Linked DNA regions of Xenopus tropicalis. The protein of the gene in region 2 interacts with the protein of the main gene of each other region in a pairwise test. Links are inferred from orthologs where the notes say so. Each region holds a gene or a part of one and is shown on either strand. Other genes may lie near its edges.

Region 1 (4,448 bases), on a different chromosome or scaffold from region 2:
TATTATTATAGACAAAAAGGAAATCATTTTTTAAACTGTAAATTGTTTGATTAAAATGAAGTTTATGTGCGACATGGCTGGAACTAGGGGTGTGGAGAGGAGGCACCTGCCAAGGGTGCAATGGTGGTGGTGGGGGAGGGCTAGGCACCTCCTCTGCCTAGACATCCCCTCACCTGCACTTCTCACAGGACAATCCTGTTCGTTCTCACATCCATGTGAGGGAGGGGGGTGAGGGGTTTCTGCATAAAGGATATTATATATTTTCATTTTTCCCACTTTGATATCCTGTAATAGGTGCCTATTAAATGGCTTAATACCTCTTTTGGTTTAAAGTGAAACTTTGTTTCCATAATCTTTCCACAATTTCCAGACCTGAATTACTTTTTTGCCATGATTGCTACTGAAGTTAATGTTTTGTAAGTAGGTTAAAAAGATGATATATATTATATAGAAGCTTTTCTGAATGTTTATACAGGTATCGGACCCCTTATACGGAAACCCGTTATCCAGAAAGCTCCGAATTATGGAAAGCCTGTCTCTCATAGACTCCATTTTAATCAAATAATTCAGAAATGTAAAAATGATTTCCTTTTTCTCTGTAATAATAAAACAGTACCTTGTAATTGATCTCAACTAATATATAAATAATCCTTATTGGATGCAAAACAATCCTGCTGGGTTTAATTAATGTTTTATTGATTTTTTAGTAGACTTAAGGTATGGAGATCCAAATTACGGAAAGACCCCTTATCCGGAATACCCTTGGTCCCGAGCATTCTAGATAACAGGTCCTATACCTGTACTTTGCTTAGACCATTTACAGCATTTAATTATATTAAAGGTATAATTAAGTGTGTGCAGGGAACATTCCTACCATATTTCAACTTGTTGTGTGGGAGCTGCCAAACAGCTTACCTATCCTAGTTGATTCCCAATGACCAGCACTTAAGTGTATGGATTTAATTGTTCAGCCAAGGCATGCAGCGTGGCAGGCTTATACAACTCAAAGTATGAAAGTATAGTTTATATTAAACATATTAGGGCAATCTGACATAATATTGCTTGCCTGAGGTAAGACATACTGCATAAAAAGGTACAGGTATGTGACCCATTATCCAGAATGCTCAGTACATGGGGTTTTCCAGATAAGGGGTCTTTCCATAATATGGATCTCCTACCTTAAGTCTAAAGATTGTAAAGGGTAATTCCAAGCGCACCGGACGACAGGATATCTTAGACTATCCTGTTGTCCGGTGCGCTTGGAGTTACCCTTTACAATCTTTGGATTTTCTACCTTGGCTACGGGTTCGGGGCCCTGAGCACCCGGCCCATTTTTGGACTATGGTGAGCCTTTATTCATCGCTTATCAGATCTTTCTGTTTTCTACTTGTGCGATAGACCCGGGGTATGAACACCCGGGTCTCTTCTTTATATTTGGTACAAATTGATTTCTGCCGTTTGAACCAGCTGAATAGATTAATGCTTGGTTCTTAAATTAATTTAATATTTACATTTATTTTTGAGCGAGTTTATTTTTTGAGTTTCCTACCTTAAGTCTGCTAATAAAATTATTTAATCAGTAATTAAACCCAATAGGATGGTCTTGCATTCAATAAGGATTCATTATATCTTAGTTGGGATCAAGTACAAGGTACTGTTTTATTATTACAGAGAAAAAGGAAACCATTTTAAAAACTGTGAATTATTTGATTAAAATGGAGTCTATGGGAGATTACCTTCCCGTAATTCTGAACTTTATGGAAAATGGGTTTCCGGATAAGGGGTCAAACACCTGTACACAATTAATATTGCCTAGCTCGTTAACATAAAGGCTAAGTACTTTTCTCCGTACATTTCAGGTGCAGTATATCTTCTGTATCTTAATCAAATGCTTTATAGAAAGTAGTAGGTCTCCACTATCTAATGCTCTAAAGAATTTTATGGATTTTATTTACCCAGTGAGACACTTGTATCTTCTCCTCACTCTTGTAGGAAGAGCACATAGAGGAGATAAGAAGTCTCAGCACTGGGCTCTCCAGTTTCCAGTAGAGGGTTGAGGTTAAAGGTTTTAATAGAGGTTTTTATTCAATTCAATGGTAGGCAGCCTCAGAAATGACAGGCATTTCTCTGCTGGTGGAAATACATACACCTTCTGTACCATGGCATTTAGAAACCATATCTGACAGTAATGCATACTAATCACAGCTGCACAGTAAGACTGCTAGTTACAGTACATTAAAATCCACTTGTCTGAAATTCTGCTTAGAAGTAAATGGCAAAACACCAATATGAATGAGGCCGTATGTATTTCTTCCCACTGCTAATCTGGCAGCATCTGGTGGAAATTCTATTGTGGCATCTGTAGCAGCGGGAACAGTTCAGTAACAAAGTCAACAGACTGTGTATTCTCTAAAGGCTTAAAAAGTAATACCAACCTGCAGTGAACCACGATAGGACCAGCACTTGGAGGATTTGACAACTTCACTCGGCGAATGAATGACAAAAGACCCGTGGCATGATAAGGAACACCATGGTCTGGCCAGCCAGTGAAGTGGAACTGTTTGACTTCACGGATCTCATTGTACCCTCTCTGTAAATTACAAAATATTATAATTGAGTTTATGATAGCTGGAAATATTCTCACAAAAAGAACTTTGGGGTGCTCCCAAGAAAGAAGAGATGCCAGTAAAAATCAGAAAAGCCCCATCGTTTTGAAAGAACCCAATAAAGCAAGAAATGCATTAGTTGTTACTGAACCCAACCTGATGTACAACAGCACTATAACAGTATGAAGCCATGATTCAAAAATGTCTCTTGATGCCTTTATAATTTTGAATTGGTCCACAACACTACCAATTGCTGTATGCTTGGGGCCTTGCCAGGGTCGTACTTGGCTAAAGGGAAACCAGGAAAAAACCCTGTGGGCCTTGCTACATGTCGATACCTGTGGAGAGCAGGGTGCACAGGGGGGCTGGCATCAGGATGGCAGTGCACAGGAGCGACTGGTGTGGACCCTGATAGCCTGAACACCCCAGTCTGACGCTGGGCCTTATTATGTACCAATTTTGCTGGCCAGTCCCCATTCATTGACCCTAATTTGAAGGGGCAAAACAAAGGAGGTGGAGCTCAAGAAGGATGCCTGTGTGCAACTGGGGGTGACCACAAATAAGGAATGGAGTATAGTAAAAACAAGTGGAACCATGGTTGAATAAAGTGTTCTACTATATATGTGTAAGAATAACAATTAACCATGCAAAATAAGAACCTAGCAATACTAGCCTCAATACTCTTCAAATGTTGCAGCAGAATTTAAAATGCCTATGCTAGTAAAGACACACAGGGAGTGCGCTATTTACAGTCTGGCCAGTAGATTGCTTTAAAAGAACAATTCTGTTGCTCACTAGGAGAATAATGGAGTCATGTACCACAACAAATTTGTGAACATTACTAAAACTACTGAAGGACTCAAAGTAGTGAACACTCTAAAGAATGCCAAAAAACCCTTAAACAAACAAAAACATAATTTCATCCAGAAAAAAAACCACACACAGCAATAACAGAATAACGCTGATTTTTGGTTCAAAGGCTTCTGTATATTTACATATTATTAATCAGCCTTAATACATTTCAGTTTGCTTTTTTTCTGCTAACCAAGCTTTGTATTTTATTTTCCATAATTAAGCGAAGAACATTCCTGGTATACTTATTCCCAGTTTTAGCTATAATTGACACTGGCATGGTAATTGCTTCCCCTGAAATTTTAAGAATGAAAATCTCCAAGCATCACAGGTAGAGAATGTCAAGCATCCCATTTTGGGTTAAATTCTACTTAGCAGGTACCTCTTGTCAACTGATTTTGTACATGGATAAAACAATTTCTGTATAGCAGTATTTACTCACATTAGTGATGGTGCTGTCTGCAAACAGAAACCACTAAAATCATTGGAAAATCTCCATAGTTACATTGCAAAAAAAAAAAAAAAATCTATCTTATAATGGTTTATCCCAGCCCCAAGCACTACATTATTAAATCAATGGAAAGACCAGCAATAAACTGCTTCCTTATCTATCATGATCTAGTTACTTTAGTTCATCTAGCTAGCAACGAAATGGCAAAAAAAGCTATTTTATATATATATATATATATATATAGCAATATCTGTCGTTGTCCTTGTTCCAGTGTATTGTTTTGGTACTAGCACGCAGATTTTGTTGCTGCATATAGTGTGCACCCTTTGTACTATTTTATTTTGTATAAAAAAAAGTAAACATTAAGTGCAGATTTAACTGGGCTACAATCAAAATAATTGAAATGTTTATTTTGTGAAAAAAAAGTCAGAGCTATAGGGACAGAGGGCCCATAATATACTGACAGAAAGCTAACAGCTTATTGGGAAACTTACCCTTTCCAATGTGAATGTCCGTATTACATACTCAGCAAGTGGTTC
Region 2 (3,725 bases):
GATATTATAAGTCACCGAGGAGTTTTGTAGCCATATAAAGGCACAAAGCTGAGTACTTTTCTTATACAGGTCATTGAACTCATAACATCCTATTGTTTAAAATATAACAAATATAATACCCCCTGTTTCAGTGAGTCATCTGACAAAACATACATCACTAAGCACCAATTATATTGATAAGATTTACAGGATATTCATAGCTCTGTATGTGTATTATATATGTAACAAACTTACAAATATACAGTGATCTTGCTTTTACCATGAAAAACAGTTTTTGGTTGTAGGACTCCTTAAAGGTTTTTACAATCCAAATCAAAATAAATCTTTAAAGTTAACCCCACTGGATGTAGAAAACATCCTCTCTATTGTTCTAGCTCTGAATTATCACTGTCCCCTTGCATAATAACGGGATAAACTCCATGGGAGATTTTGATCAGATTTTTGGGTCAGGATCTCCATCTGATCTTCCAACAGGCATGTTGTGTCAGATGACAAATCTTTCATGCATTTTAACACATGATTTTTGACCTATACAACCACATCAAACTTGTAGAATGTATTTTGGCAATCCGTCACATCTTACAGGGGTTTAGTTCAATTCAAGATAAGAAAGAGGTAAGAACATTTACTACACATTGTCGTTTCCTTTCTTACACTAAAGGTCCCCATACACGGGCAGATTGTAGCTGCCGATATCAGTCCCTTAGACCGATTCTGCAGCTTATCTGCCCGTGTAGGGGCAGAAACGAGGGTCCTAGCCGACCGATATCTGGCCTGAAATTGGCCAGATCTCGATCGGCCAGGTTAGAAAATTCCGTCGGATCGGGGGCCGCATCGGCTCGTTGATGCGGTCCCCGAACAGACTGCCCCTTGCCGCCAGTATAATTTGATCGTTTGGCCCCACCGTAGGTGGGGATATCAGCGTGTATGGGGACCTTAAGCTTTTAGGGACATTTAAATAAATAACAAGACAGCACAAAAGAGCAAGATCTCCATTTAGAAGCCAATATTAATGTAAATACAGATATGCACGTAAAACATATACAAAAAAAATTAAAATAAGTCTTAAAAAAAACATACATTATACACATTAAGCAATACAGTAAGTTAGCTGTACAGTCCATTACAAGCATTGTCGTTGTGCAAGTGGCTTGCGTGGGGAACAAGCTGTTTGCAGCTTGTTACTAAGCTTTAAGGAAATGGTGTCTAGTGCATTATGAGAAAGCACATTCTCCTTCTCTACCGGGAGCTGCTGGTTTTTGAAGAAGCAAAGTCTGCAGACTGAGTGATATTTTTCAGCTCCTCCAATAACTTCCACCTGCACACAATGCAGAAAAAGGAGAAAAAAAAAATTAAATCTGATTCTATGAGATGGGGACCTGCACACACCATAACCTGCAGCCTTCTCAACCTAGGCCTTACCCAGTCTGAGGTTGAAAAGAGGCTTTTAAGACACCTGTCCCAACCCAAACCAGCCCATAAACATTATGCCACCAATGATGAGGCTAGCTTTTGTGGAGCCAGGCTCCACAGGCTGTGGCTGGGCAATGACAACCCACACCCAAAGTGCCGGCCAATTTTTTCCATCCAAATCTGCCCGACTGCCACATGTCACTGGCCCCTAATATATATTTTTCTTTTTAGCTCGTAATATGCAAAACTATTGTGGCAAATAAAGGAGGCAGCATCAGGATTACTGAGGGCTTTTAGAATGGATACAACTTAAGACTCAAACTAAAACTGCCATTTTATCATATAGCAACAAAAGGAAATTACGCAGCTTCACCCACTCACTGTGATAGAATAAAAAAAATGAGGTTACAATGAAACTGTAAAGGACATAATTTAAGAGTGGGAGGGAAGGAAGGAATGAATGTGGAAAATGCCTATATAGGGACCTGCATTTTAAATCCCTTTCTGGTCTGCAGGCTCATAACCTACAGGACACTAGCTGAAATTTGGCCTAATTAAAATTAACATTAATTCTTTTACCTCCTGCCTCAATGGCCATTACAAAACCCACATCAATTGAAGATTAACATGAGAATATACAGTAGGGGCATATTACAGTGTGTAAGGCAACATTACTGGCGATGTTCCCTATAGCAACCGATCAGCAATTCAATTTGGATGGTCACCTACAAGTTAGCAAATAAAAGCAAAGATTTGATTGGTTGCTATGGGCAACATCACCGGTGATGTTGGTTTATACTCTATAATAAATATGCCCCTATGAATATATCTAAACCAAATTAAGCAATATGGCCACACCATTTGTGTGTATGAAATTAAGTACAAGGAAAAAATTATTTGCACATTACCTGTATTTAAAGTACAATAACATAACAGAAATAATGCAATTTATTGGATTTACCTGTGAAGCAAAATATTTGCAATAATTTTGCTATCTGTCTATAGAAAACGTAGCTGGCATTTTTTGATGCACAAATAGCTCACATGCAGACAAGGACATAAATAATACCTCCAGAAGACTATTTACATACCTCCTTTTCTGCCCCTAGCCGCTTGGTGTATGCAGCCTCCCGATAACACTCCATGCAAACAGAGTTGAGTTTTACAACACTTTCTGCCAAAGGCACCAAATTCAAGATGTTTCCAAATGCCTAAAAATGTGCACAAAAAGGTGGTAAGGGCCACTTAAAACCCATGTAAAAAGCACAACACATTGCATTCTTATACTTGTAACTACAACTAACCTTCCTCTGAAATGTGCCATCCAGAGCTGCTACAATCATAGTCTTTCCACGATTTGCCATTTCCTCACAAAAATCTACAATGTCAGGGAACTGAATGAGAACAGAAGTTTTATTATCGGTCATCAGAAGTCAGGTGAAGAACGAACTTTAAAGTTAAATCAGGAAATACTCACAAACTGTCCTTCATCTATTCCTATAACAGAACAGGCCAAAGCTTCAGCGGAAACATCACGCAACTGGCAGGCAGATACAGCTGCCATTGTGTTCCTGCAAGGACAAACAAGCATTAACATCTCAATCTCTATACTTAACAGTTGCTTTAAAAAGGATGGGCACAGCAATGTAAAAATACTCTACATGGTTTGGAACAAAGAAGCACTGAAGTCCTCTGTAAAAGTAGTACAGTTATGGAATGCATTAGCTGGAAACCCTTTCTCCAAAAAGCTTTAAATTAGGGGAAGGCCATCTTCCATCGACTCCATTTTAATCAATAAAACAGTACCGTCTACTTTTGTTAATTTGTATTTAGATGATTTTGTGGGGTAAATTAATTTTGCTCCACTTTAACTCATATTTTAAGGTAACTACACTTCTGTGAATTCCCAAAAAGTGTTATTTGCCAAAAACATATAAACCATACTCTACACCATGAAGGTCCTGGCAATTATAGCCCATAACAATTGTTACCATGTTACCCAGTGCAGTCCTATATGATTTTTGGGCATGCTTTTTAAAATCAGTAAATACAAATGTACCACAACCAATGATATGCGATATTTCTATATGTAGATAAGATGAGCTTAACAATACAGAATGTGTAAAATTGCTTACTGGTCATGTGTAGCAAGATGCTCTTTGCTGTAGCGTGTATCTTTCGCATACTTTATAAGCATGCACTTGTACTGTGCAATCTGAAACCGTCGCACTCTGCGCATCAGCTCTGTGCTGTAAAATATACAGAAAATTTGTTCAGCAGAATAGGAAAATAAGCAGTCTCATGCGATGACA

Evidence for each region.
Region 1: the proteins of tk1 (region 2) and ptprk interact in a two-hybrid assay, tested with the Homo sapiens proteins (2 studies listed by BioGRID and IntAct). The link is inferred for Xenopus tropicalis from reciprocal best matches to the Homo sapiens genes TK1 and PTPRK.

Annotation. Positions count from the first base shown.
Region 1 is NC_030681.2:68,144,445-68,148,892, forward strand, and holds part of ptprk (receptor-type tyrosine-protein phosphatase kappa), read right to left. Parts: coding exon 4,404-4,448; intron 2,591-4,403; coding exon 2,436-2,590; intron 1-2,435. UniProt on the Homo sapiens protein: Regulation of processes involving cell contact and adhesion such as growth control, tumor invasion, and metastasis. Negative regulator of EGFR signaling pathway. Forms complexes with beta-catenin and gamma-catenin/plakoglobin.
Region 2 is NC_030686.2:26,189,663-26,193,387, reverse strand, and holds the end of tk1 (thymidine kinase, cytosolic), read right to left. Parts: intron 3,663-3,725; coding exon 3,549-3,662; intron 2,985-3,548; coding exon 2,891-2,984; intron 2,808-2,890; coding exon 2,718-2,807; intron 2,625-2,717; coding exon 2,505-2,624; intron 1,319-2,504; coding exon 1,124-1,318; 3' UTR 979-1,123; downstream 1-978. UniProt on the Homo sapiens protein: Cell-cycle-regulated enzyme of importance in nucleotide metabolism. Catalyzes the first enzymatic step in the salvage pathway converting thymidine into thymidine monophosphate.